Linked DNA regions of Elephas maximus indicus. The protein of the gene in region 1 purifies or fractionates together with the protein of each later gene. This does not show direct contact. Links are inferred from orthologs where the notes say so. Each region holds a gene or a part of one and is shown on either strand. Other genes may lie near its edges.

The links.
Region 2: the proteins of PRPF8 (region 1) and CRNKL1 fractionate together in Homo sapiens (co-fractionation; 3 studies listed by BioGRID, with this or other methods). This does not show direct contact. The link is inferred for Elephas maximus indicus from reciprocal best matches to the Homo sapiens genes PRPF8 and CRNKL1.
Region 3: the proteins of PRPF8 (region 1) and DHX15 fractionate together in Homo sapiens (co-fractionation; 3 studies listed by BioGRID, with this or other methods). This does not show direct contact. The link is inferred for Elephas maximus indicus from reciprocal best matches to the Homo sapiens genes PRPF8 and DHX15.
Region 4: the proteins of PRPF8 (region 1) and SF3B4 purify together in Homo sapiens (affinity purification with mass spectrometry; 4 studies listed by BioGRID and IntAct, with this or other methods). This does not show direct contact. The link is inferred for Elephas maximus indicus from reciprocal best matches to the Homo sapiens genes PRPF8 and SF3B4.

The regions. Positions count from the first base shown.
Region 1 is NC_064837.1:20,023,669-20,031,148, forward strand, and holds the start of PRPF8 (pre-mRNA-processing-splicing factor 8), read left to right. Parts: upstream 1-4,461; 5' UTR 4,462-4,534; exon of another isoform or gene 4,535-4,541; intron 4,542-4,714; 5' UTR 4,715-4,725; coding exon 4,726-4,825; intron 4,826-5,365; coding exon 5,366-5,534; intron 5,535-6,626; coding exon 6,627-6,791; intron 6,792-6,877; coding exon 6,878-7,096; intron 7,097-7,221; coding exon 7,222-7,434; intron 7,435-7,480. UniProt on the Homo sapiens protein: Plays a role in pre-mRNA splicing as core component of precatalytic, catalytic and postcatalytic spliceosomal complexes, both of the predominant U2-type spliceosome and the minor U12-type spliceosome.
Region 2 is NC_064843.1:61,128,870-61,136,695, reverse strand, and holds the start of CRNKL1 (crooked neck-like protein 1), read left to right. Parts: upstream 1-4,821; 5' UTR 4,822-4,928; coding exon 4,929-4,979; intron 4,980-5,959; coding exon 5,960-6,112; intron 6,113-7,139; coding exon 7,140-7,231; intron 7,232-7,826. UniProt on the Homo sapiens protein: Involved in pre-mRNA splicing process. As a component of the minor spliceosome, involved in the splicing of U12-type introns in pre-mRNAs.
Region 3 is NC_064823.1:138,877,537-138,885,085, reverse strand, and holds the start of DHX15 (ATP-dependent RNA helicase DHX15), read right to left. Parts: upstream 3,009-7,549; 5' UTR 2,841-3,008; coding exon 2,770-2,840; intron 1-2,769.
Region 4 is NC_064821.1:184,069,566-184,076,643, forward strand, and holds the start of SF3B4 (splicing factor 3B subunit 4), read right to left. Parts: upstream 3,016-7,078; 5' UTR 2,966-3,015; coding exon 2,932-2,965; intron 2,471-2,931; coding exon 2,342-2,470; intron 2,077-2,341; coding exon 1,534-2,076; intron 1,221-1,533; coding exon 1,014-1,220; intron 1-1,013. UniProt on the Homo sapiens protein: Component of the 17S U2 SnRNP complex of the spliceosome, a large ribonucleoprotein complex that removes introns from transcribed pre-mRNAs.

The DNA.
Region 1 (7,480 bases):
AACTCTCTCACTCTATGCATCAGCCAGCCAACTGCAGCAGTCTGCCGGTCCTGTGCTGCTGCCATCTCATGCCACTGCCATCTCATGCCACTGCCATCTCCAGTGTTACAGCTCTGTCTCCTGGGTCTAGGAGGTTTTCAGCACAGGTATGCTTAGGACAAAGGATGGACTCTGCTCCTGGCTCTTCTTGATGGTAGTGAGGCCTCCCCTCAACCTTTGGGATTGGCTCTTTTCAAGCCTTTTTGTTTTTAGGATGACAAAACTGACCAATTCCCTCAAGGTTTCCATGCACTTTATTTGCATTAGCAGGCTGTCCAATATCCGCAAGGGTTCCATACACCTTATTTGCATAGTCCCAGCCAATCATTTTAATGGGATTTACAAGTCCATGGCCAGAAGACCATATAAAAGCGATTCATTGCACCGCATGAGGTAATAGTAAGACCAATCTCATTGGATTATTGTAACCATAAAATGAACTAATTCATGTAAAGTTGTTAGAGAGAACCTGGCACACAGTTCATGTAATTAGGCATGTTATTCACTTTTTGAGCTTGGGTTTCTCATCAGTAAAATAGGGATAGTAATAGTGCTTACCATGTAAGATTGAGGATTTAATAAGCTTATTTATTTATTAACTTTTTACTCTGAAATAATTTTAGCTCACATAGAAGTTGCAAAAATAGCATGGAGAGCCTAAAGATAGGCAGAAAGATTAATAGAATAGTCCAGAAACAAAAGGTCAATTGATTTTCAACAAAGGAGCCAAGGCAATTCAATGGGGGGAAGAACAGTCTTTTCAGCAAATAGTAATAGGACAACTGAATATCCACATGCAAAAGAATGAATTTGGACCACTACCTCACACTATATACAACAATTAACTTGAAGTGAATTATAGAACTATATTTAAGAACTAAAACTGTAAAACTCTTAGAAGACAACATGAGCATATGTTCCTGATTTGTGTAACACAATTATTTCTAAGATATGAGGCCAAAACCACAAGTGATAAAACAGAAGATTGACAAGCTGGGCCTTATTCAAACTAGAAACTTCTGTGCTTCAAAGGGTACCATCGAGAAAGTGAAAAGACATTTAATAACCAAATCTCAGAAGTGCCATCCCACCACTTTTGCCATATTGTCCTGTTAGAATTGAGTCGGTAAGTCCAGCTACTTCCAAGGGAAGTAAATACTAAGGGGCAGGGAATACAAGGGGATAAAACCACGAGGTAGGAATCACTGAGAGCCATCTCCAAGGCTGCCTACTACACTGGAAGAGGGAGAGGGGAGTGGGGTGGCCATAAGGTTTATGAACAGACCAAAGTTCATGTTTTGGAGTGTCTGGGGATCTAAAAAGCTGCTGTTGGACAGGTCAGCACGAGGCAAGGATAGAGAAGCCAAGAGGTCAAATCACGCCATGTCTTGGCTGCAAAAAAAGAAAGTGAAAAGACAATTCACAGAATGGGAGAAAAAAATTTTCAAAATGTGTATCTAGAATATATAAATAAGTCCTAGAACTCAATAATAAAAAGACAACCAAATTATAAAATGGGCAAAGGATCTGAATGGACGTTTCCTGGAAGAAGATATACAAACGGCCAATAAAACACAGAAGAAGATGCTCAACATCGTAGAAATTAGGGAAATGCAAATCAAAACCACAATACGATACAACTGCATGTAAACCAGAATGGCTACAATATAAACACAGATAATAACAATTGTTGATGAGGTTACAGAGAAATCACAACCCTCATGAACTGCTGGTGGGTATGTAAAATGGTGCAACAGCTTTGAAAAACAGTCTGGCAGCTTCTCAAAAGGTTAAACATAGAGTTACCACATGACCCAGCAATTCCACTCCTGGATACATATGCAAGAGAAATGAAAACATATGTCTAAGCAAAAACTTGTATAAATATTCACAGCAACATTATTCACAGTGGGCAGAAAGTGGAAACAACCTAAATCCTCATTAACTGACTGGATAAATGTGCTATATCTATACAATGTAATATTATTTGGTAATACAAATGAATGACCTACTGATAGGCTACAATATGGAATGAACCTCAAAAGCATTATGCTAAGTGAAAGAAGCCAGTCATTTATACGAAATGTCATGAATAGGCAAATCTATAGAAATAGAAAGTAGATTAGTGGTTGCCTAGGGCTGAAGGGTATGAGGGGAAAGGAAATGGAAGTCAGTGCTAATGGGAACAAAGGTTCTTCTAGGGATGATGAGAATGTTCTGGAATTAGTGGCGGTAATTGCATAAGTGTAAATATACTAAAAATCATTGAATTGTACACTTAAATTGGGTGAGCTTTATGGTATGTAAACCGCATCCCAATAATTTTGTTAAAAAATAATAGAGAGAATTCCTGCATACGCTTCACCCAGCTTGATAACTTCTTACATAACCATAGCAGGGACAATCAAAACAAGAAAAGAGCAACTACAGGAAATTGATATTGGTACAATACTACTGGTGAAATTACAAACCATATTAGATTTCACCCCTGCTTAGAACAATGCCTGGCACATAGTGAACCTTGTACGGGTGTGAAGGACGTCACTGCAATGATCATGATGAAAATCATAACGATGCTGGACCAATCACAGCCAGGTTGGTCTGCTCGCTGTTCTCAGAGCATGCCACCTTAGTTCCTGTTTCTAAGTGCTTAGTCTACTGGTAAGGGTACAAATCACCTGAGACTCCCTTTTCCTTCCCCTTTATTTCCCCCATCAAATCATTCACACAGTGGCATCTCCTAGGGGGGTGGGGTGGGTGCTGACCGCACCTGGTGACACTGTCAAAGGGGGTGACACCAAAATGACTGTCTATAAAATTTTTGTGCAGGGTTTCAGCAAAAATTTATGATTTTTTATAAAAATATCTCTGTAGTTAGTTATAACAATAACATTTTTCATAAGTCCAGCTTACATGTATCAATATACCTACAAGGCTAAAATTCTATGCTAATTTACTTTTTTAATGCCCTCGGTAGCACTGGGGGTTCATGCCCTTGGTCAGCGCTGTCATTATTACCCAATCACAATGATGATTCGAATCACGTGGACTGCACATGCTACAAGAACTGCTGTTTTTTGTTGCTGGTGTTTTTATAGTTCCTGGTTTTGTCAAATTTTCTGGTGTTTTAGCTACAATATTGTGGTAATTAGTATTTGTGAACCTATACAAATAGCTTTTTTGAGAACAAAGTAGTAATAAAGGGAAAAGAGGGAGTGATATATGGGAATGATGATTTACAAGTATCTCTAGTACAAAAAACATTCCTAAGGATTCCTTGTGGTCTGGTATGGGGGGAGGTCCATGGCAGGGGTGACACTGTGAGTTACTGCATTGGGTGACACTGACCCTAGTGACCTGCTGGATTCACATCCATGATCTCTGTAAAAACTTCTTTAATAATTCTCCTCCCTTCTCGGAATGTATGAACACCCATACCGACCAGCACTTGCCTGTTCTCTAGCTTGCATTTTTCTCTAATTATTTCACATTTGAGTTCTAAGTTTCCATTAGACCGAGAGGGTGTGTAGGCTACACTACCTTCAAATCCCCCACAATAAGCTCGGTGGGAATTCCAACAAACTTGTCTATTGACTGAGTCAGATTCAAAGTTTTTACAGAAACAGAGCTGCAAAGGGCGGAGCAAGAGGGACGGAATGTGAAACGAGGATGGCAGGAGATGGAGAGCAATTCAGGCAGCAAGACAGAATCTGGGCAAGTCAAGAAGCATTTATAGGGTGTCCACTGTACTCCATGGGGTGCCCATTACACTCCATAGTGTAATGAAAATCATTGCCAGAGAGAGAAAAGAGGAATAGAGAGGGAGGGGGTAAAGACACCCAACAATGGAGTTCCCCACGGTATCTTCTGCAGTCAGGGTGAAAAGCCCTACTCCGGGACTCTCATCACACAGCATTTGTTAACAGCCTGCGTTCTAGTCTGACTTCCCCGCTAACCTGTGAGCTCTGTGAGAGCTTGCGGTTCGCTCTTCCCCTGGTATATCCCCAATGCCTGGTACTTTGTGGGGACTCTATAGATGGTCCAATGAACGAACAAAGGACTGATGGACCCGGAACTAGTCCTGCATCTCAAATCTACATTTATGAAAAACAGACTCAGAACAATGTGCAATTTTGACAAATTGAAACTCTGAAGCTCTAGTCTCTCCTTCCTCACACTAGAACGCGAAGCGCCAACTAGACGAAGTCTACCACAGGCCCCAAAATCAACCTCTGAAAATACGGGAGGCGGGGCTTGTGCCTACCCCTCCACAACCCCTTGAGTTCAAGTCCTTTCCGCATATGCACCCGCCCCCTTAACCCGGCGCGCAGTTCTAATTGGTGAGTTCTCTAATCCATCTGAGAATCTGGTCGCCTATTGGGTTAACTGCTAAACCCGCTTGCGCATCTTCCGGCGTTGGGAACGCAGAGCGGACGTAGCTTTGCCGCCATTGCGCTGCGGGAAGAGCGGCCGTCTGAGCGAGGGGGCTGTGGGGGTGCGTGGTAGGCTTTAAGGGCCGGACTGAGCGGCGGGAGGTGTTGGGCCGGGTTGGGTGCACTCTGCACAAGGCGGGGCTGCAGGGGCTGGGGAGCAGTCTCCGGGACGCGTTCATGTTGCGCCTCTTCTGGGCCCAGGCCCTATTGCTCGTTGATTGTTCACCCCCTCCGTCCCCCAGATTCTCCAGGCATGGCTGGAGTATTTCCTTACCGGGGGCCGGGTAACCCGGTGCCCGGCCCTTTAGCCCCGCTGCCGGACTACATGTCGGAGGAGAAGCTGCAGGAGAAAGGTGAGGAAAGTGTGCCGGGATGACGCGCGCGGGCCCCGAGACTTAGGGGCCGGTGTGCGCGCGTGCGCGCGGGGGGTTTGGAAAGCCTTTCCTGGGGCAACCTAGAAAGTTTCCCCCCCACCGCTTGTCAGGTCATTACCGGTAGATGTGGACTCCCTTTTTAGCCCTATTTATTTTTCAACTAGTGAAGTATTTTTAAGCGTTTGTTATTTGTAGGAGCTGATCTAAGTAATGGGGAATATAATAGCGATGAGGACAAAGCTGTTGCCTCTACGGATTAAATTGCAGTGAGGGAGATAGACAATAAAAAACTTAAAAGTCTGTAAAACATAAGTCGAAAGACGAAAAAACAAAAGATAAAGCACAATGAGTTGACAAAAGAATTGGTGGAGATTGTTCTTTCTAGATGGGGAAGTCACCTTCTCCACATCTGGGTGCCCCGCCCCCCTCACAGGCCCGGACAGGTGCTTACCCTAGGGCAGGAGATGGGGATCATTAGGCTAAGGGAGTGCAGTTTTTCAAACTGAGATGCCTTTGTAGCCCGAAAATGGCAGCAATTGCAGGCCAAGCGCTACGCAGAAAAGCGGAAATTTGGGTTTGTGGATGCTCAGAAGGAAGACATGCCTCCAGAACATGTTAGAAAGATTATTCGAGACCATGGAGACATGACCAACAGGAAGTTTCGCCATGACAAAAGGGTCTACTTGGGGTAAGGAACATCTGGAATTATTTCATTTGGAGTTTAGCTCCTTTACTTTCTCGCCGCCCTATAGGTTGCAGTGCTAGATAGCTGCTCTATCATTTGGGGACAGGACTCTACAATGACAGCCATCTTGGCGTTTGTAGAGAAAGAAGGAAACCACTAGGATTCTGTGACAATTTGCAGGTTTTCCAGTTATGCTCTTTATTGCTCTGATTTTTCTTCTTTATCTGGGGCTGGGGCTTTAATTTGTCTTTTTGGTGCTTTGGCTTTTCTTCATATGTTCCTGTCATTGAATGGATTGAAGTCCAGAGTGGGACACTTTGTACTTTTAGCTGTCTTAAAACCTCAATGACCAAAATTCTGAGGTTTGAGATACTTAGTGGCACAATGATTAAGAACTGGGCTGCTAACCAAAAGGTGGGCAGTTTGAATCCACCAGCTGCTCCTTGGAAACCCTACAGGGCAGTTCTAGTCTGTCCTATAGGGTCACTATGAGTTGGGATTGACCCGACGGCAGTGGGTTTGGTTTTTTTGGTTTGAGGTCTGTATATTCTCAGGTACAAATGCCTTAGCAAATTCCTGTCCCATTTGGACATAAAAATGTTAGCCAGCTAATGAACTGGTCTGAGGCAAAAATATATATATATTTTAAATTATGCTAGATTCTAAGGATGTAACGGTCAAGAAGGCAGTAACGATCTCTGCCTTCATAGAACTAACAGTCTAGTGGCATGACAGACGTGAAATGGTTACAATGAAGTATGATGAATATTTTATTTTTGTTACTTGTGGGAAGGTACAGAAATAATAAAATGTGAAAAGCTGGACAACAAAGAGGGTGTTGTTTTGTTGCTTTAAAGGGACTACTATCCAATATTGCAGGACCGTAAAGTTTAAGGGGGAAGGTGGTGTAATGTGAGGTTGGAGAGGGTAAGACATGTTTCTGATCCTGGAGGGCTTAGGTGTGCTAAGTTTGGGAGTTTGGACTGTAAGGCAGTGTTTTCTGTGGAATGTGGTACTGTGATACCATGTGGGTTCTCTGCTGAGTGGCGGAACACCTTGTCATGCTTGTTAATTTTTCTTTTCCTAATGCCACAGTGCCCTAAAGTACATGCCCCATGCAGTCCTCAAGCTTCTGGAGAACATGCCCATGCCTTGGGAGCAGATTCGGGATGTGCCTGTGCTGTACCACATCACTGGAGCTATTTCCTTCGTCAATGAGATTCCCTGGGTTATTGAGCCTGTCTACATCTCCCAGTGGGGGTGAGAAGGGCTGGAATATGGTGTGTGGTGGTGGTGTTGGCTGAAGGGGCAGTGAGTAGAAGTTGTGTAATGTTCTTGACTTCCAGGTCGATGTGGATTATGATGCGTCGAGAAAAGAGAGACAGGAGGCATTTTAAGAGGATGCGTTTCCCCCCTTTTGATGATGAGGAGCCACCCTTGGACTATGCTGACAATATTCTAGATGTTGAGCCACTTGAGGCCATTCAGCTAGAGCTGGACCCAGAGGAGGATGCCCCTGTGTTGGACTGGTTCTACGACCACCAGCCATTAAGGGATAGCAGGAAGTGAGTGATGGTTGGAGTTACTCTATAAGAGTTCTAGAAGCCTCGGAGTCCCGGGTGAGCAGTAGGTGGTATGGCTCTGCTAGCTGGTATACTTACCTGACTTGGTCCCCTTTTTTTAACCCTAGGTATGTGAATGGTTCCACTTACCAGCGTTGGCAGTTCACACTGCCCATGATGTCCACTCTCTACCGCCTGGCCAATCAGCTCCTGACAGACTTGGTAGATGACAACTACTTCTATCTGTTTGATCTAAAGGCCTTCTTTACCTCCAAGGCACTTAATATGGCCATTCCTGGAGGCCCCAAATTTGAACCTCTTGTTCGAGACATCAACCTGCAGTAAGTTGGAGAGAGTGAGGATTTTAGCCCTTTAGGCCTAGTAAAA
Region 2 (7,826 bases), on another chromosome or scaffold:
AATTGTCAAAAAAGAAGTAAAAGTATCTCTGTTTGCAGATGACATGATCTTATACACAGAAAAACCTAAAGAATCTACACAAGAAAACTACTGAAACTAATAGAAGAGTTTGTCAGAGTATCAGGATACAAGATAAACATACATGAATCAGTTGGATTCCTCTATACCAAAAAAGAGAGCAACTAAGAGGAAATCACCAAATCAATACCATTAGCAACGGCCCCTAAGAAGATAAAATACTCAGGAATAAATCTAACCAAGGATGTAAAAGACCTGTACAAAGAAAACTATAAGACACAACTGCAAGAAAGCAAAAGAGACGTAAATCTGTCCACATATGAGCAGCTGATATTTGACAAAGGCCCAAAGTCAGTTAAATGGGGAAAAGACAGTCTGTTTAACAAATGGTGCTGGCATAACTGGATATCCAGCTGGAAAAAAATTAAACAAGACCCATGTATCACACCACGCACAAAAACCAACTCAAAATGGATCAAGGACCTAAATATGAAATCTAAAATGATAAAGATCATGGAAGAAAAAACAGAGACAATGCCAGGAGCCCTAACACATGGCACAAACAGTATACAAAACATTACCAGAACTGTATGAAAACTAGAAGAGAAATTAGATAACTGGAAGCTCCTAAGAGTCAAACATTTATGCTCATCCAAAGACTTTACCAAAAGAGTAAAAATATTACCCACAGATTGGGAAAAAGTTTTTAGCTATAACATTTCTGATCAGCAGCTGATCTCTAAAATCTACATGTTACTACAAAAACTCAACTGCAAAAAGACAAATAACTCAATGAAAAAATGTGCAAAGGATATGAACAGGCACTTCACTAAAGAAGACATTCAGGTAGCCATCACACAAACAGATAAATGCACACTCATGTTCACTGCTGCACTGTTTACAATAGCAAAAAGATGGATGCAGCCAAGGTGTCCATCAATGGATAGATAAATTATGGTATATTCACACAATGGAATACTATGCATCGATAAAGAACAACAATGAATCTGTGAAACATTTCATAACATGGAGGAATTTGGAAGGCATTATGCTGAGGGATATTAGTCAATTCCAAAAGGACAAATATCGGATAAGACCACCATTACAAGAACTCAAAAAATAGTTTAAGCATAGATGAAAATATTGGTTGATGGTTACAAGAGGAGGGAGGGTAGGAGAGGGGTATTCATTAATTAGATAGTAGATAAGAACTACTTTAGGTGAAGGGAAAGACAACACACAATACAGGTGAGATCAGCACAACTGGACTAAACTAAAAGCAAAGAAATTTCCTGAATAAATTGAACGCTTCGAAGTCCAGCATAGGGTGGGGGTTTGGGGACCATGGCTCCAGGGGACATCTAAGTCAATTGGCACAATAAAATCTATTAAGAAAACATACTGCATTCCACTTTGGAGAGTGGCACCTGGGGTCTTAAATGCTAGCAACCAGCCATCTAACATGCATCAATTGGTCTCAACCCACCTGGAGCAAAGGAGAATGAAGAACACCACGGACACAAGGTAATTACCAGCCCAAGAGACAGAAAGGGCCACATAAACCAGAGACTACATCAGCCTGAGACCAGAACCAGATGGTGCCTGGGTACAATCGATGACTGCCCTGGCAAGGAACACAACAGAAAACCCCTGAGGAAGCAGGAGAGCAGTGGGATGCAGACTTCAAATTCTCGTAAAAAGACCAGACTTAATGGTTTGACTGAGACTAGAAGGACTCCGGAGGTCATGGTCCCCAGGCTTTCTCTAGCCTAAGACAGGAACCATTGCCAAAGCCAACTCTTCAGACAGGGATTGGACTGGACTATGGGATAGAAAATGATACTGGTGAAGAGCGAGCTTCTTGGATCAAGTAGACACATGAGACTATGAGGGCAGCTCCCATCTGGAGGGGAGATGGGAGGACAGAGGGGGTCAGAAGCTGACCAAATGGACACAAAAATAGAGAGTGGAGGGAAGGAGTGTGCCGTCTCATTAGTGGGAGAGCAACTAGGAGTATATAGCAAGGTGTATATAAAATTTTGTATAAGAGGCTGACTTGACTTGTAAACTTTCACTTAAAGCAAAATAAAATTAAAAAAAAAAGCTTGTGAGTGGCCATGTAAGATACAACTATTGGTCTCTACTCATCCAGAGCAAAAGAGAAAGAAGGAAACCAAAGACTCAAAGAAGAAATTAATCTACAGGACTAACAATCTACATGAACCATGGTCTCATCTACCCTGAGACCAGAAGAAATACATGGTGCCCAGTTACCACTACCAGTCATTCTTATCAGGGCCCAAATGGATGGATTCTTAGAGAACAGGAGAAAAATGTGGAACAGAGACCAAATTTTTAAAAAGTCCCAACTTACTGGACTGGTTGAGACTAGAGGATTCCCAAGACTGGCACCCTAAGAAACTCTTTAAGCCTTGAAATGAAACCATCCCCTGAGGGAAAACAGAGTGGCTCATAAAATAAAAGGAAACCCTGGTGGCATAGTGGTGCCTTTAAAAAGTCATCTATGAGACCAAATGGTCAACAATCACTCTAAACAAAGATGAAGAGGTTAGGGGGCAGGGAAACCAGATTACTGGAAACGAAATTAATAAGAATGTTGACACATTGTGAAAAATATAACTAATGAACTAATGTAACTAATATAGAAACCGTTAAATGAGAACCTAATTTGCTATGTAAACTCCCACTGAAAACGCAATAAAATATTATTTTAAAAAAATGAGGAAGAAATAAGACACCTGTGAAAATATTGACGACCTACGAAAATGTTAGAAGTTAAACAGGCACCACAAGAGAAATAGTTTCATTATGTTTTGCCCAATTAATGATTAACTGCTTAAAAAAATACTCTTGTTTTAAAAAATGAAGGTGATATAAAGACACTTTCATACAAAAAAACCTTGAGAGAGGTTACCATTCAAAGAACCCAGTTAAGAGAACTAGTAAAAGATGTATTCCAGAACGAATAAAATTAAAATCAGAAACGAGTGGAATACAAGATGCACTGCTGAGAGAAAAAAGGTAACATGCAGGTATAGCTAAATAAGCACTGATGGCAAAAAGAAAAGTAATAATAATGATAATTTTGCTTAAAAACCAGGTTGTACTAAACAAGCAGACAAAAAAAACATGTGAGAGGAAAGAATGGTGATTAGGAAGTAAAGCATTTTAAGGTGTTTGTATCTCTGAGAGGAGGCTAAAACCAAAAAAACAAACCCATTGCTATTGAGTAGATTCCAACTCATAGCCACCCTATAGTACATAGCAGAACTGCCCCATAGGGTTTCTAAGAAGGGGCTGGTGGATTCCAACTGCCAGCCTTTTGGTTAGCAGCTCAGCTCTAAACCACTGTGCCAGTGCCATTAGGGGTGATTAACTTTGTTAGATCAACTATGCATAGTTACAAATTGAAGGGAAGTCATTAAACATGTTTTTATTTTAATAGCTATTTCTTTATTTTGTTAGGTGACTTCTTTTATGATAAAAAAAATTATGATAAAAAAAATTATGATAGTGACATAAAATCTCTAACTTTTTAATGTGAGATAACTTAAAAATATTTAAGTAATATAAGTAAGTGGTACAAAGCTGTGGCAAATATTTTGATGTTTTTTAACTTAAAAATGTTTAAGTAATATAAGTAAGTGGTACAAAGCTGTGGCAAATATTTTGATGTTAGTTAATAATAACTGTAATTTAAGAAATCTGCATAAAACATTTTTTGAAAGCAGTATCTGCATAGGTAGGACATGCTTGAAATTACTACTTACATAAATATATAAATACATATTTTGGAAAACACCGAAAGAAACTTGCAACTGTCAAAATTCTCTTAACCGTTTGGCTTGCACAGAATTAATTTTTCTGTTGTTGAAGGCAGGTCAATAATTATACCAGATAGCATTATTAAGCACTTTACACAGGTTTTCTTTTTAATCCTGTGAAATAGGTATTGTTATACTTGTTTTACAGTCGAAGACCTTGAGGCTAAAATGATTTAAGAGGCACACTCGCAGAGAATTTAAACATTGGTTTATATGACCACGAGGCTGGATGGTTTGCTAGTCACTTTGCTAATTGATTTTCATTCCTTTTTTTTTTTTTTTTTAATATCTGGCTTTAAAATGTCTTCCATTATTTTAACTTCTAAGCATTAGAGTTAATTATTTGGGTTCCAAATCAAAACCAAACAGTTGCCGTCGAGTCGATTCCAACCCACAGCGACCCTACAGGACAGAGTAGAACTGCCCCATAGGGTTTCCCAGGAGCGGCTGCTGGATTCAAACTGGTGACCGTTTGATCAGCTGCCAAGCTCCTAACCACTGTGCCACCAAGGCTCTCATCTTGGGCACAACTGTCCAGAAACGAACAGGGAATGAACCTCAGGGACTACAACACCCAGAATGTAAAGCGGCGCTGGGCCGCCCAGGAACGCGGCACGTCGCCACTTGGCATGCTGGGAGTGGTAGTTTTCAGCCGGCCTCTCTTCCCCGTCCTTGAGACCTTCCAAATCGGAGCTAGCCGATGGCGCCTGGCAAAATCCACCGGCGCTGCCACTGTCATCTCAGTCCCGAAGTCCGACATGGGGATGCGCCTCGGACGCCCTAGGCCCAGTCTCCGCGTCCCTTCCTGTCAGGACGGCGCTACCCACCTCATCAGCAGCCCCAGGGCGCGCGCTCCTCCGCCAGCTCCGGGACGGACGCGCATCCCGTTACCACAGAAACGGCGCTTCCTGCGTCACGGCGCGTGCGAGAAGTCAAAGGTCAGCCAAGGTAGTTCCGCTTCCGGTTCCGGGGTTCTGCTTGTTGTCAAAAATCTTTGGTGGTGTCGGCCAGCCCTCCAGGCAACTTCGGGGATTCAGGGGTCTCCGGAGGCCCGCGGCTGCAGACATGGCGGCCTCCACCGCGGCCGGAAAGCAGCGGATCCCCAAAGTGGCTAAGGTGAGCCGCTGCTACCCAGAGGCCTTTGGGGGGCGGGCGGGAGGGGGGCTAGGAAAGGGGATTCCCCCCGGCCCAGCCTCCGCGCTGCCCTGGGCGAGGGAGTGTTGTCCTGGGTTAGGCCCATGTGGCATTCAATACTTTTTGTGCCTCAATTCCCTAAATTTTTGTCGGGCACCTCTTATGTAAAAAGAGCTGCGAAGAAAACAGTAATGAGCAGAGTCGGTATAAGAGAGCACCGTCCAATGGAAGTATAATGCGAGCCACTTACATAATTTTCAATACTCTTGTACCCACGTTAAAACATCAAAAATGAAATTAATGTTAATTGTTTAATCCAGTGTACCGAAATATTGTCATTTCGACACGTAATATTAAAAATTTTTGGTGGGGTAGTTTACTTTTTTTTTTTTTCCTTCATACTAAGTCTTCGAAATTTCCAGTCTCAATCTGGACTCCCCACAGGTGGCTTGTGACTAGCATGTTGGACAGCAGAGCTCTAAGACCTCACAAAGTTCACAGTCTAATGACGGGAACTTACTGAATATTGTCTTTGACTTGAAATAATATTAAAAATCAAACTGTTCTTTACCAAGGGCATTGAGATAAGTTGAAGAATCCCATAAGTGGAGGTTATAATAAGGAGCCCTGGTGGCACAGTGGTTAAGCACTTGGCTGCTAACCAGAAAGTCACAGTTCAAGGCTACCAACCACTCCATAGGAGAAAGATGTGGCAGTCTATTTCTGTAAAGATTACAGTCTTGGAAACCCTATGGGGGAGTTCTATTCTGTCCTATAGGGTCACTATGAATCAGAATGTAAGAGAAAAACAGGTTTTTTTTCTCTTCAGGCTCATAGAGAAACGGGAACATGTCATAATCAGGCTGTCTTGTAATAATGCTTATGAAGATCATAAGCTAAAAAGTGTTCATTTGTTTTGTAAACCTTGAGCACCTATATAGAAATGTCATTTGTCTTAAAAGGTGAAAAACAAAGCCCCGGCTGAGGTACAGATAACTGCTGAGCAGCTCCTAAGAGAAGCTAAAGAAAGAGAACTTGAGCTTCTTCCACCTCCACCTCAACAGAAGATCACAGATGAAGAAGAGTTAAACGATTACAAACTAAGGAAAAGGAAGGTCAGTCAATGTGTTACATTTCAGAGAGCCTATTAATATTGTTAGGAATTTATAGATCAGAATTTTAAAAGCTCCTCATTGATTAGAGAGTCTGTAAGATAAGAAGTTAGTGTTTCTAGCCATATGAATAATATAACTTCTGGTTACCAGATAATTGCATTTTGCTAAACTATCTAAATATGCCATGAGTTGTCTGTTTTAAAGCATAAAGGAATTAAATCCACCAGAAAGATAATTTTTGGTGCTACATTGAAGATGGAGCCCTGGTGGCATAGTGGTTAAGAGCTCAGCTGCTGAGCAAAAGGTCAACGCTCCAAATCCACCAGTCACCGCTTGGAAAATGGGGCAGTTCTCCTCTACCTGTAGGGTCGCTATGAATCGGAACCAAATTGACGGCACCTAACAACAACAACATTGAAGATAGGTGGAATTTTAACTGATGGAAACAACTGGCAGCCGTAAAAGGGAGTACTAGCAAGAAGGGCATACTAGTAAGGCTGCATCCTGGTCTTCTGTCTGTGCCACCTTCTGTGTTAATAGTTAAGACCTGGGAAAGGGCTAGGAAGACGCTTTGGGATATGATCTGACTTTCCCACCCTAAAATGTGGGATTGTTTTAAACCACTAAGCCTGTCATGTGTGCTTATTAGATATTTTCAATGAGTTATACATGAAGTTCTTAGACGTTACCAAGAAGACTTAAAGGTAATAGTCAAAAACATTTTCTTATTAGGAATACGTATAGGCTGAAGTATCAGTTAGTTGTCATAGGCAACAGGAGAAAATATCAATAATTACACTAATCTTTATATCTAAGATTTCACTTTCTTTGCATATAAGACTTCAAAGAAACACCTGTGATTCTTATCTTCTTTAGTGGGCTTTTTATTCTTCAAGGATTCCTGGATGTCATTTCTCTTAAATAAGAGTAGAATGAATGGCTTTTTTAATACAAGGATTAATAAACAAAGGATTATATCATTTTTAGCTGTCTTCCCTCTAGCTTGACGCTTTTTGCATTTCTCCAGACTTTTGAAGATAACATAAGGAAAAACAGAACCGTGATTAGTAACTGGATAAAGTATGCACAATGGGAAGAGAGTCTGAAGGAGATCCAGAGGTAAAATTAATGAGAGAGTGATTTTTTTATGTGTCATGGGCTAACAGATACAAAAAATTAGAAAAAATTAAAGCCCAGGTAAAGGTTGTGTCCCTCGTGGTTTTCCCGCGGGTTCTTTTCGTGGGCCTTGGGCAGTATGGACGGGTGGCCTACGGGAGATGGCAGCAGGAGCCTACACAGGTGGACGTCACCACCATCACAGCCTCTGTAACCAGAGAAGCTCAGTGTCAGCTGCTTTCTATACACTGAGAGTTTTTTAAAATTCCACTGAAATCCAGTAGCCAATAGGATAAAAATCTGAGTGCAATCTGTCATCATGACCTGGTCCTCCCTGTCATCTAGCCTCTCCCCGTTCTCTCAGCGTACCCTCTGATCCCACTGTACTTGCCATGCCCTGAACACTTCATGGCTCTTACCTGGGCGCTTGGCTGGCCTCCTGGTAAACAGACATTTTACTCACATTCTCAATTCTGAAGTTACCTACTACTTAGCCTTTCCCACCAGACATTTTCATTTGTTCGCTCTGCTTCCTTGGGCACAATTATCACATTATAATTACATGCCTGTCGGTCTTTTTATGAGACTTTGTAAGATT
Region 3 (7,549 bases), on another chromosome or scaffold:
ATATTTGTGAGTAAACATGCAGAGATCAAAAATGTTCCTCAAAGAATTAAAGCTGGGGATATTTTCAGGAATTTTTTGCTGTTTTCTTTATACCTCTGTATATGGACTTCTTACATTCCCTAGGGCAAGTTACTTCACCTACACCGTAAGTCTGTAGTGAAAATGTTTATACATATAGCACCTAGAACAATGCCGGGTGCACAATATGTACTCTCTATATATATTAGTGCGTTTCACTTTTACACAATGAACAGGAAAAGCTTTTACCAGGAAGTAACTAAAATTAAAGAGAAAAATACCCCTACTTTCAAAGAGTTTTTCCACTCCAACAATAGTTTTTGGGGGGATAAATTTTAGAAGATTTTGTGGGATGAGGGAAAAAGGAATAAGGCTAGGGTATATAACATAAACCTCCAACTTCTCTATCTGGCCCTGAAGTTAAAACACGCCAGAAGAAAACAAAGTCACAAATAGTTTGGGAGCATGAATGAGTGAAATCTCCCACTGAATCACTCTCCATTTGCAGCACTGCAAGAATGGGAAAATGGGACAGTTATATGCAGTGCCACTCACAGACTGACAAGCCTATGTTCTGATAAAACCCATCCCGGTTTTTTTTTAAATCTGCAGGATTGCATTTGAAAAGGCAGTCACCAAAAGTGACTTCAGTTGCCAAGTATGAAACACACTCCAGCACTGATGAACGCTGTAAGCTCATTGCTAAAGAATACTAGTTCTATGAAAAATGAATTATTCAAGATATGAACGTATAAAAACAGCCCTCCAGAATTTCAGGACTTGGGCATTATTCCAAATATGAACTCTTTTTCACCTACAGACAGAAGTCAAGCACTATTGAAGGGAATCATAAGGGCACCACCTAGAAACAAAAAGGGACAGACATTCATTTTGCAGGGGAAAGGGAGCAACCACATATACAGATGAGACCTCTAGCCCCAAAGAAAGCATTTTTAGTGGTGTACATACACAGGGATATAAATATTTTGTGCCAAACTAAAGTCTTGTGAAACATGTTTGTTCCATCTCAGCCAGATAACAAGCAATTTATTTTTGCTTCACAGGCATCAAGAACCAAGTGTTCCCAACTTTACAAGTCATTAAAATCGGCTGCAGTGACTTTAAACTACAGCCATAGGCTGTATGTTGTAACGGAAAAAGCTCAGAGTGAAAAATCAGAAGCTCAGGGTTCTACATCCGGCATTCAACTGCGTAAACCTGCAGAAACCACCTTAACAACTCTGGGTCTCCTTTTCCCACTCCTTGAGTGAGGCTCTGAAGTCACTTCAGCTCTGAGGGTCTGTGACATGTTGCTTCAACGCCATCAAGTTTTGCTGGGTGTTTTTTTTTTTTTTGGAGGGGGAGGGGCAGCCTAGGGAGAAAACTGTCTAATACTGTAAACTAAATACTTTTCAACATTAAAATGTGACATACTTCTGCTTTATATATTCAATATACGGAACTGCATTAAAAAGTACACCCTATCCTGGCATTTACTGGACACAGCAGAGACCTACAAATCAATCCAGATCATGGGCTTCTGGTCAACAATTCCCCAAAGCTACACAGATGGTTTAACACAGTTATTCTGTACACACACACATACACACACGATAAGATAAAATCATCCAAGGAATGTGAACATTCAGGACATTGTGTTTTTGCCTGAATTATCCAAAGAGATCTCTGTACTTTCGGGATAAAAAAAAAAATTGAACAAGAAATGACTTTAATGCAATTACTAATGCACCTTTAAAAAAGGACTAAGGGAAAGGAAAGTTATCTGAAACAGTAAGTCTGTATTTCAAGTCCCAAACAACCTCCCCACGGGGCAATATTTTGCCGTAATTAAAACCATTTTTTGAAAAGCGTTTTTTCAAAAGCTACTTATAAAGAACAGCAGAAAAAACAATAGAAAATAACTTATGGGGGGGGGGAAAGAACGCCTTCTATCCCTACCCCACTGATTTCCGATGCCAATGCTTTAACTAAAGCAGGAAATAAAGGAGATGGCGGGAGCGTAGGCAGAGAGCGGAAGTTTGTCTAGTGTCTTTGAAGTGTTTGAATGGACCGAGGCACGCTCCCTCCCGCCAAACTATAAACGTAGCCTTCTCCATCCCACCAGCCTTCCAGCCCGCCAGGTGTACTCCACGTTCCCCTTTCGACAGGCCCTCTACTCTCCCTTCCCCCGAGAACTCCTCGTTTGCACGTCTCACACTCAACTCCCGCCACCCCCATCCCAGCCTACACAAGAACCCAGGCGCTTCTTTACACTCTCTGACTCTCCCTTCCTGAGATCCAGCCACTCCCCAAGGTCCACTCCCCGGTCCCTCGGCCTGAGAAGTGCCTGGTGCCCTTGGAAGCGAATACTCTCGCCGCGCCCTCCCCCCTTACCCCCCCGCCCCGGCTCCAGGCCTTACTCGGGAACCCGAACCACGAGGTCCGCGGGTCCCTCCCGCCAGCCCCCCTCGAGTCGAGCTCTAATCGGCCCGTCAGATACGTCCTCGTGGCCACAACAGGCCCCTCCACCTACCCGACGGTGGCGGGCGGCGGCCCAGCCACACACACACATTCCCCGCGTCCTTGCTGGGCCGACCGCGGAGAGTGGCGCCGCTTTCCTCCGCCCAGAGGGAAACAAAGACTCGAGCTCCGGAGCCCTCTCGGTCAGGCCGGCCCTGGCCTGCTCCCCGCCGGCCCGCCGCGGCTCCAACAAAGCCCGAGCCGCTGCCTCGCGCCCCCGGCCTGGCTTACCCATCGGTCCCCGCACGCTTCTTGCCGGAGGGGTAATCCTCCCCCAGGTCCAACCGGTGCCGCTTGGACATCTTCGTACTCTTCGAGCGGGTGGTTACCAAGAAGGAGAAAAAAGAGAAGCCAGTGGCTGTAGCGCCGCAGTCGAGGGCAGCTACTTTGGAGAACCCCCACCCCTCCCGCTACAACAGCCTACACCGTGCGGCCGGAACCAGGAGCTAAAATGGCGGCGGCGACGAGGGCTGGGCCTGCGCGCGCGCTTCCGCAGCGTACGTACTGTGCGTCCTTGCGTGCGTAGTGCACGCGCACGACTCTCGGAGGCGGCAACTCTGGCCCCGCCCACCAACGCTCTGGCCCGCCCACCCCGCGCCCCGCCTGACGCCTCCCTATTCCCGGCGCTTTCCGAGTCTGAGAGGGTGTAAAGAGCCGTGAGACGGAGGCGCTTGAGGCTCCGCTTCTGTCTCACCGTCCCGCTCTGATTTAGGAAATTGAAAGGGAGGAAGTCTAGTCCTAGTTAGGAAATCCTACCTATCTGTATTGTCTTGGCTTTAGGGCAATCTGAGACCAGCCAAGCCAGGACTGGAACCTGATCTAAAACTCCAAATCTAGAACTTGTAGCTACTGTGCTAAACACTCAATTGCAGAGAGAAAACTGAGATGAGAAGATGTCATGACTTGCCATGATCCATTTTGCGCTTTCTCTACCCAACACGGACAACATGCATTTGGGCTATAAAAGTTTTGTTGGAGTAGAGAAAATTGGCAGTAAGGGGATAATTAGCTTTTTTTTTTTTTTTTTAATGCCTGTTTTGCACTTGTGACAGCGTTAATCCTACCTCTTTACCTCACTCTTACGGTAACCCTGCACGGTAGATGTTATTTTATAGGCGTGGAAGCTAAAGCTGAGAGCGGTTATGAAATGTGCCCCAAATCGCAGAGTCAATAGTGCTGTACCCAAAGCAACAGCAAACTAGTGGAGCAAGATGCCTCTGGTGCCTTTTGTGGACCTCTCCCCTTCTTCCTGGGTTGTGTCCATTCAAGAAAGAAATGCACAAGAAAAAGAGCCATGGACCAAACCCAGCTGGGTGACTCCTGTAGTTCATGCAATTGACTCTAGCTGTCTTGGAAGGCCAAGCTCTGGTTCTATCAAATCCTTAGCACTGCAAGTGAGAAGATTAAATACAACTTAAATATTGAACACTGAAAAATAGGGTTTTTATTTTTTTCTACCAAACACACATTCCAAAGTCAGCACCAAGAGAACTGGATATCTTCTTTTCACTTATAAAATACTCAGTGCAAGTTTCTACCCTAAATGTACATTAACAGTGGATTGGCTTTTGTCAGAGATCACAATGTATGATCACTGAATTGTAAACCTGGGAAAGAATTTCCAGCTGATTTTCTCTTTCCACTTAATTTTAAAACCCCATTGCCGTCGGGTTGATTCCCATAGGGTTCCCAAGGAGCGGCTGGTGAATTTGGAACATTGACCTTATCGGTTCACAGCCAATATCTTAACCACCTGAGCCACTAGGTCATGACCAAATTCACACAGCCAGTTAGTATCAAAGACAGAATTAAAATTCAGAGTTCACTTTAACTATTTCATCCTCAGGTCTCCAAGTTCCCAGTTGGAGAGCTACAATAACATGCTCTAAAAAAAAAACGGAAAAGGTTGGAATTCTGCCTTCAGAAGTGCTCCGGCCTAAGAGGAGTCAGCCACTCAGAAGTGTGCAAAGAGCCTTCGTAAATGAAGAACTGAAACCAAGGTGATGAGACCTTTTTCCTTGGGCCTAGGATGTATCTAAAGAAACCTGTAACCTAATCAATTGTGTTGTAACATGAATTACTGAAGAAAGGTCATATTTACCAAAGATAGTGGCCTTTCTGGAACCCGGAATAAAGACAACTAAGGGCCAGAATCTGCCAGGATGTTTGTACTTTCTGGGAAGAGGAGCAGAGCTCTGAGTCTAGATGCTCTACCCTAGATTTTCAGACAAAACTGACTCTAGAGTAAAGAAGGGCCACCCACCAGGACCCACAGCTTGTTGCCAGAGAATATTTATTACCTTTACTCTTACTCTTTGTCTACTAGACAACCCTCTGATCTAGTATCTGACCTATGGCATGGATTTACTCACCTGGAGGGAATGTTTTATGCAGCTATCCAGCTCCAGATTGCAAGCCAGGGTTATCTCCCAACCTAAAGTAATGAATGGTAATGATAATAGTTAATGTGTATAAAGCATTTAGGAGTCCCTGGATGGCAAAAATGGTTAAATACTTGACTACTAGCCTAAAGGTTTGCAGTTCAAACCCACCCGGAGGTGCCTCGAAAGACAGGCCTAGCAAAAAGTCACAGCCTTAAAAACCCTGTGGAGCGGTTCTATGCTGCACACACAAGGTTGCCATGCATGAGAATCAACTTGACAGCAACTAACAATAACGACAACATTGTCATGGATTGAATTGTGTCCCCTGAAAATGAGTGTCAGCTTGGCTAGGCCGTGATTCCCAGTATTGTGTGGTTGTCCTCCATTTTAGGATCTGATGCAATTTTCCTATGTGTTGTAGATCCTACTCTCTGCCGGTGGTTAATGAGGCAAGATTAGGTTATGTTAAAGAGGATTAGGGTGGGATGTAACACCCACACTCAGGTCACAGCCCTGATCCAATGTAAGGGGAATTTCCCTGGGATGTGGCTTGCGTCAGTTTTTATATTGCAAGAGATAAAACGGGAGAGAAGTGAACAGAGAGATGAGGACCTCATGCCACCAAGAAAGAAGCTCTGGGAGTGGAGTGCATGCTTTGGACCCAGGTTCCTGTGCTAAGAAGCTCCTAGGCCAGGTGAAGATTGATGACAATTACTTTCCCCCAAAACAGACAGAGAAAGACTTGCCCTGGAGCTGGCACCCTGAATTCAGACTTCTAGACTGTGAGTTAATAAATTTCTCTTTGTTAAAGGCATCCTCTTGTGGTATTTCTGTTATAGCAGCACTCGATGATAACTACGAATGTGGTAACAGAAAACTGGGATACTGCTCTAACAGATACCTAAAATGTGGAAGCGGTTTTGAACTGAGTAATGGGTAGATGCTGGAAGAGTTTTAAAGTGTCTAGTAGTAAATGCCTAGATTGCCTTGAAGAGACTTTTCGTGGAATTATGGACATCAAAGGCAATTCTGGCGAGGATTCAGAAGGATATGAGGAGAGTTGTCTCAAAGGGTGGAGCCATAACCTTCAGGGTTTCAAATGATAGGGCCATAGCCTCCTAGGTTTCAAAAAATCAGATCTTCATCAACTTGATTCCGGAGTGTTGGGCTGCCTCTCACGAGCGCCAGTGGGATGGGGCCAGATCCACTGTCCAAAGCTGAGGGGGCAGGGCTGCCATGCCTGAGGTTCAGAGGGACAGGGTCTGCTGGGGCAGAGTAGGTAGGGTCGCCGCTCAGTTGGGCTAGAAAAACAAGGCTGCCCAAATGCAATGGCGCAGGACCAGACAGTTTTGTGCTGCTGTACATAGGGTCGCTATGAGTTGGAGCTGACTCGACGGCACTTAACAACAGCAGCAACAACAAATGCAAGGGGGCATAGTTGCTGTTCCAGTGGGCCTGGAAGACTGAGCTGAAGCCCAGGGCCGAGGGGCCTCCGCTCAGAATCCGGAGAGTGTGGCCAACACTCAGAGTCTGGAGGGCAGGGCCATTGCCTAGATGGTCTCAGAGAAAAGAGAATTATTTTCAAGCCTTGAGAGCTAGTGTAAATTGTTCTGCTGGATTTTTGACTTGCTAGGTTTTGTTATCCCTTCTTTCCCTTCAGTTTTGTATCCCCCCCAAAATATGTGTCAACTTGGTTAGGCCATGATTCCCAGTATTGTGTATTGTGTGGTTGTCCTCCATTTTGTGATTGTAATTTTATGTTGAGAGAATTAGAGTGGGATTGTAACACCACCCTTAACTCGGGTTACCTCCCTGATCCAAGGTAAAGGAAGTTTCCCTGGGATGTGACCTGTACCACCTTTTATCTCCCAAGAGATCAAAGGAAACGGAAGCAAGCAGAGAGTTGAGGACCTCATACCACCAAGAAAGCAGCACCAGGAGCAGAGTGCATCCTTTGGGCCAGGGGTCCGTGCGCCTGAGAAGCTCCTTGACTATGGGAAGATTGAGGACAAGGACCTTCGTCCATAGCCAAAAGAGAGAGAAAGCCTTCCCCTGGAGCCAATACCCTGAATTTGGACTTGTAACCTACTAGACTATGAGAAAATAAATTTCTCTTTGTTAAAGCCATCCACTTGTGATATTTCCGTTATGGCAGCACTAGATGACTAAGACAAGTTTCTTCCATTTGTAATGGAAATGTCTAGCTTTTGGCTGTTCCACCGTAGTACTCTGGAAGCAGATACCTTGTATTCTAGGTTTCACAGATGAAGAGGAATTTTGTAGAAGATGAGATTTTGGATTTGGAGTTGATTTAAGACTTTTGCTATGATATGATGGGAGCTGAATGTATTTTACATGTGGCAAGGACATGAATTTTGGGGGCCAAAAAGTAAAATATCATGGATTGAATTGTGTCCCCCCAAAATATGTGTCAGCATGGCTAAGCCATGATTCCCAGTATTGTGTGGTTCTCCTCCGTTTTGTGATCTGATGTAATTTTCCTATGCATTGTAAATCCTAATCTCTGCCTGTGGTTAATTAGGCAAGATTAGGTTATGTTAAAGAGAATTAGGGTGGGATGCAACACCCTCACTCAGATCACAGCCCTGATCCAATGTAATGGGAGT
Region 4 (7,078 bases), on another chromosome or scaffold:
TTGACTGCCCTGGTAATGAATTTGGATTTTACTCTACAGGTAAAAGGGAAAAACAGAAGAATTTTAACCCAAGGGTATGTGAACACCCATGTTTTAGAAAAATTATTCTATGAAAGACAGATCAAAGGCAGAGAAAACTGGAGTGAAAGTGACCAGTTACACGATTGCTATGATAACTTAGGTGTGAAATAAAAGAATGAGGGCTTGAACCAGGACACTGGCAATGTGGGTAGATGCCAGAGATTCTAAGAACAGGGTAATAGAGGATAGTCTAATACAGCTCCCAAATTTATGAATTAAGCATCTGAAAACAAAGAATATGACAGAAAAAGTAGGTCTGAAGGGAAGGAGTAGAAAATTTCATTTTTAGTCATGTTTGGTTTAAGGTACCAAAGGGGTAGCACAGTACAGCTAGCTGTCCATTAAACAGGAGAATTATGGGTCTGGAATGTTAATAACCATGGACTAAAGAAACAGACCTAGAAAGTATCAATGAATAATGAAAAATATAAAAATACGCGGAAAAGAGAACCAAGCACAAGATCCTAGGTGCAGGCAGGGAAAAAGGAGCCTATGAAGGAGGCTGAGATTGAGAAGTCAGAGAGAGGTGGAGGAGAATCCAGAAAAACAAAAGCCAAACCAGACAAGAATTTCAAACAAAAGAACACGGCCAGTTTCATGTACAGCAGAGGTCAGAGCAAAAAAGAAGGGTCCCCTAGGTTTGGAAATAGGTCACTTTTGGGGTGGAAATGAAAGGAAAGAATACAAGTAAAAGTTAAGGAAACAAAAAGTTGCAAGTTTAGGTTACTCTTCAGGAAAACTTAAATAAGAAATGGAACCGTGGCAGCACATGTTAGTGTAAACAATATAAAGTATTTTGTTTTTGTTTACATAAAAAAAAGGAGAGCTCTGGAACTACCTATTTTTGTTGAGGGACAAAAGGCAACAGCAGGAGTGATAACAAAACCCCTCTACCAAGCTCATCCCTTCTTTTCCCAGCAAAGAACACTCACCTGGATGGGGCATCCCACCTGGTGGGAATGGATGAGGATGTGAATGTCCATGTGCAGGATGTCCAGCCCCAGGGGTTCCTGCTGATGGGGGGCCATGTCCTCCAGCCCCAGGAGGCATAGGTGGCGGCGGCATGGCTGGGGGTATACCGGGTGGAAGGGCTCCAGGAGGTGGTACTGGGGGTGGGAAAGAGCCAGGAGGAGGCATACCTAAAGAAGAAATGGAAGAAGAGTTACTAGTACTGAGAAGATGATATCTTTAGAGAGCTTGTGCCAATCAGACCTCTCCAAGAAGGATGACCTCTTTTCCCCTCTTCCCAGCTCTCTTAAAGCCAGCAACAGTGTTAGACAACTCAAACAACTTCACTCTCCTGGAGAAACCCAACAACTTTCTTCCACACCACAACCATCACCCCCCCCAATGCCCTCATCACCCACTGACTTGCTGTCCTTTTTTCCGTTCTTTTCCACCCTTCTGTCCCCTCAACCCCAAGACAAACACATTTTGAATCAAAAGCTTTACCTGGCGGAGGAAGCCCAGACCCCAACGATGATACCACAGGATTGGGGGCAGACGGTGGAGGGGGTGCATCTGCAAACAGCTGGTGAGGACGGTCAGCCTGGGAGAGTGGGTTTTGGGCTGCCAGAAGTCGTTCAGCTGCTGAGCCATGGCGCTCACCCTTAGAGTCCTTCTTAAAGGCATAAGACACAGTGATAGGGCGGTTACATAGGTACTGCCCATTCATGGCCTCAATCGCTGCATCCGAAGCATCAAATGAAGCAAAATTAATAAAGGCATAACCCTTGGAGTTGCCTGTGTCAGGGTCCCGCATAATCTTGGGGGTTTGTAAGATGACCCCAAAGGCGCTGAATGTATCATAAAGCAGCTTCTCGTCAATCTCTGGGTCCAGGTTCCCAATGAAAATGTTGGCCCCTACATCCAGGTTTTTGTTGTGAGCTGATGCTTTGTTCACCCGTATTGGCTTCCCATAGAGTTTGATCATGTTCATGATCTTAATGGCATAGTCAGCATCTTCCTCACTTAAGAATTCCACAAAGCCATAACCTGTGTATAAAAAAGGGAAGGTTAACAAATGAAGTGAAGAGACTCGAAAGGGGGTAAAACTCATCCCCCACCAAGGCACAAACAAGAAAGAAAAAAAAAAAAACCTCACTTCAATGAGAATGGTTCTGGAAACAAATTATGAACTGAGGTTCAAAAGAAAGGATTCTTTAAACGCTACTCCTTACAAACACTGTGACTACTACAGAGCCCACCAGGACCACTACATCCCCTCAATACACAAATGCATGTCTTGCTAGGTACTCACCTTGGTGCTGGCCAGTGACTCTATCCTTTGGCATGTGGGTGTTGACTACAGGCCCTGCCTGGAGAAACAGCTCCCATAACAGTGGTTCGCTAACCTTCTCATCCAGGCCCCCCACGTACACAGTAGCATCTGAAGGAAAAGTGAAGGTTAAGGTAGGTGTGAGAGTATAACAAGAAATGAAGGGGACAAGAATATGAAAATGCAATTCAGGCAAGATAACTGGGGGTGGGTTTAGGGGATAAGAGCAAAAAGAAAAAAAAAAAAAGATGTTAGATCAAGCCCTTAAATCCCCTTCTTCCCAGGACCTAGAGAATCTTCGGAAGTCCAACACCGTGTTCTATTGAAAATTCTACCTTTCTCCGTGGACTTTGTATTTTTTTGAGTGGGAAGGCAAGAGGAAATTGGGCACAGAAGGCATCACACATACAGGCCTCAGCAAGCACCCGACCACCCCGCCCCCGGCAGGCATGGCTGCCGGTCCCGCGCTCTACGAGGCGATCCAGTCACTCGCCCCGGCAGTGACCCTGCTGGCTCTAGTCGGAGCCTCCCAGCTCCCCTGTGCCCATTCCGGGCTCGTCCCCTCTAGTTACCCTGATTCCTCTCAGAGATCGGCCCGGCCGCCATGGCGAACGAGCTCCCGCCGTCTCCAAGCAGCAGCCCCGCCCCCTGACCGCAGTCGCGTCTTCCACTTCCGGGGCAGAGGCCGTGGTAGGGTGGCGGGCGCGGCCGCGGCAGGAGAGGAGCCGGAAGCGGCCGGAGCCATCTTAGGAGGCGCCGAGATTGGGCGCGGCTTGGGATACTCTTGCTGTGGGGTGTTGGTCTTGCTCCGGGCCGCGCCTGCGAGCGCCCGAGCTGGGAGGGGAAACGGAAACGTTCAGACCCCGTAAAGCAGTGCTAGAGGTTAAACCATGCAGCTGCTCCCGAAAATGTAAATTTGAAAGCTAGAAACAAAACTGCTTTTCATGTATCTTGTAGCCAGGTGATCTTTTTTCCTTCAGAAAAGTGTTGAGGAACCCGCGCCCAAGGGCTCGGCTGCCTTCCACCTTGGCTCGCAGCCCTCGCCAGATTCGGCTTCACAGCTCCGGCCTGGGCTTGAGGTATTTTGTTTTCCCTCGGGCGGGTATTGCGGAATGTCTGAGCGGGGAGTGACGTCGAAGCTCGGCTAGCCGTTATTGCAGGGGGATGATGGGACACCAAAGCCAAGGGGTGGCTGGGATTGAAGCCCAGAGCCTTGTCTCAGCCGCCTGAACACACTAGCCCAACAACAACTCTTGATATGCTCCCCAGCTCTTGCCACATCTACCCCTAAAGTGGGAGGCACAGAGAAATGAACCCCTTTTGCCAAATTACATGTGAATTCTGCAGACCCTCACCTGACTCCATTCTCTTATCTCGTAATAATATGGTGGGTGCCTTCCTCTCTTGGGTCACACCCACCTTCCACCCACCACTCTTTGCTACCTAGAATCATCTATTCAGATAAATGCCAGCAACGTGTATAAATACCGTGCTTTAATCAACCTTTTAAATACAAATGTCACTGCAAAAATACACAGCTGGAGGAGGCAGGGTGTCTCCCATATCCACCCCATTCTCATGGAGAACTATAAGAAATATTAATTGGAATTAAGCAGCAAGAGGGGTAAGAATGAGGTCACTAGGCCATCTTGTTGGGATGATGACCAGCATCTCTGATCTCACAATTTAACAGCTGATATCCAAAAGAGGTGGTAATGCCTTGAAAAAAATGGGAGATCACATTATAGATTTTGTTTACTGATTTCTTCAAATCACGAGAAACAAGCAAACAAAAAATCTCGAGGAATCAAAACACACAGGACAAGAGTTGGAGAAGGTTAGCGCCACCCCCTGCAATGGAAACTCAGGCCTGCTAAGTAAGCTTGTTTAAGGGCTGGAGTGTGGAAGCTGAGGCAGCAAAACCAGATAAGAAAAATCAGGATTAGACAGAACCCTCCCTCAACCCAGGCAGGCCTCTTCCCTGTCTGTGACAATGCCAGCAGTTTCAGCAGGGTTGAGAGAGAATGGTATTTGGGTCTCTCTTCTTAGAGTGATCTTCAGGAGATAGTCTTGGTGGTCTTGGCGTCCATTTCCTTAATAGCTCCTGAAGATGGGATAGCTCATCCTGGAGGCCAGAGATTGTGGGAGCTGACAGGCCCATCTGGGGATGGGGCAAAGAGGGGTAAGAGGAATATTATTGCAGTTCTAGCCCTCTCCTAAGATACACTACGTCCGGTGTCTTTAATTCTCCTTCTCCTTCCAACTGTGCCTGGGGTTCCACTTGATCTAAGCCACAAGCAGTTTCCCCCGCCCTCCCAAAACTACCCAGTTTGATACCAACAGGAGTGGTACCTCACTTTCCAGCCCCTCCCCCTAGCCCCTTGCCATTCCAACTCCGGCTCATCTGGTTCAACAGTCAAGCCCTTTCTCCCACTCCCAACCTCTGTCTTCCCTTCTCACCTGGACTTCAGGCCTTCCCCTCAGGTAGCAGCGTTTCCAGAGCCTGATCTGGGGTCCCAGATTTCCAGGAAGCAGTAGCCCTGGGGGTAAAGGGCAAGCCCCCCAATGTGAGGGGAGCCCCCACTCCTGGTCAGCCAGGCTTTCAGTGGAGATGGCTAGTCGAGGAAGCCAACGAGAAGAGACGGCCAGTAGGGAGGGACTGTCCCGCCAAGGACAGAGGTGATTAAGGGGTGTCAGGGCCCCTCTAGAGAAGAGCCACACAGAACTGGGGGGTCCAGGAACCATGAAGCGTGACTGGGGGGGAAAGAGAAATCATTTGGCAACCTAGAAACCAGACTACCCAGTTTTCCCAAGTTAGGCCAGGAAGAGGCATCAGCTGCCACTGCACTAGTGATTGGAATTACAAGCCTCTCCCTGAGAACTGTTTATCTACTCTCCTTATTAGGGTTCAAACTAGGCCTCAGGACTGACTGAAGTTGATTTAGGGAAACCTGTAAAAGTGAATGCATGAGACAGGAAGAATAATAAACAGAGATGAGAAGGACAGAAAGGATGCCTTCTATGCCATTCTAGGGTTTCTGTCTTTCTGGGGACAGTCAGGGCTCATAAGTGACACCTGCATAACAGGAGTGGGATAGCTCCCCATGGGCAACTAAGATACTGTCTTCCCACTTTTCCCCGTCTAGTGGGATGAATCTGTGGGAAAGTCAGGGGAATTTAGAAATCACTGACACCTCACCTGTCGTCTACGGAGCCAGGAATCTGGGCAGTGCTCTGGGTCATAGCCAGGATTATGGAATTGTAGGATTTGTTCATTGCTGTAGCGTAAACCCCAGTCCCAGACAGAGAGCTGCTGGTTAACAGAGTTCCCAGGTAGGGGCTGGGAGTTCCGTGGGGTGTACACTTGTGTATAGGAGCTGAACTGAACAGAGGAAGCAAGAAAAGGGATGGTTAAACAAACAAAAAATACAGTCCTTTTCCCAAATCTAAAGAGAAATCATCATGAAACGCTCACCTCTTACTCCAAAAATCAAATATAAGGCAAAAGTCCAGTCTTGAGAATGAGCATCAACCTCCTCATCCCCACCCAACACTTCTTTACTCAAAACAAATCAAGGCTAAACTTCAGATAGTACATCTCAACGGGAAAAAAAAAAGACAGGTCAGAAATGGAAGTCACTGACCTGTCCACTCTGCTTTCCACGCTCCCAGGGATTATCTCTCAGGAACGTAAGGGTGTCAGGGACTCTGACACTGTCATGAAGAGCAAGAAGGAAAAACTCAGAGAATTCAAACTCAGCTGGAAACTGCTGGAGGAGCTGCCAGACACAATCAAGGAAGAGGAGAAACACTGGAGCCTGAGAAGAGGGAAATTAAGAGATTAGAAGAGATGGTGAAGACTTAAGGGGGAAGATCACAAAATGATGAGGGGTGGGGGACACAGGAACGGGGCACTAAGGAGGTCAGGGAATGGAAATCTGAACTGAGGGTAGTAGGGGATTGTGGGACCTCTCTCATTTTGGTCTCTGTCTAATCTCAGCCTAACCTTAGGATCCTCTGACCGAATTCTCCTACAATGGATTATACTATGTATTATTCTCATCCCCTTACTTCTTTAGTAATACCCCCCAATACACTCCCAAATCCTCACCTCCTCACTGGCCCCAGTTCCCCCAAGCCGGGTCAGGAAGGGGTGTCCAGCTGCCACCCACTCTCGTTGTACTAGTGATTGAAAGCCAAGCAATGTTCGGGCTTCGGGGGCTGAAAGCAGCTGGACGAGTGAAGAGAGGAGGCCATTGAGATCACGATCACCGAGCTCTGGGTGATAAAGAGAGGGAAGGAGCAAAGAAAAGGGGCCAAGAAACTAGGGCAGGAGAGAATGGGAAGAGGAAACATGGCAAGGAGAAGTGAGAGGCACAGAGGAGAAACATTTTGGGTTAGGTAGGATTGAGAGGGCACATAGAAGGAGTGAAGAGAAAATAAAGATCTTGAATGACTCACTTCATAGACTCCACCTGAGTAGAAAAACCCAGCTCAATGTAGGAGGCACAGTCACATTTGTCAAACCAGCTTTGGCATTGCCCTTCCCACCCCAACCTCAGCACCCATGCTGTGATTGAAGGGAGGGAGCAGAGGGGCGAGAATCGAGAATCGTAGGGTTAGGGATGACAAACTACAGTGGGGAGGCAGAGGTAGTATGGAAGGGTAAGAATTAGAGCTCATGGGTAGTTTCTGGTAACTGAAGAAGAAGCTAGTCCT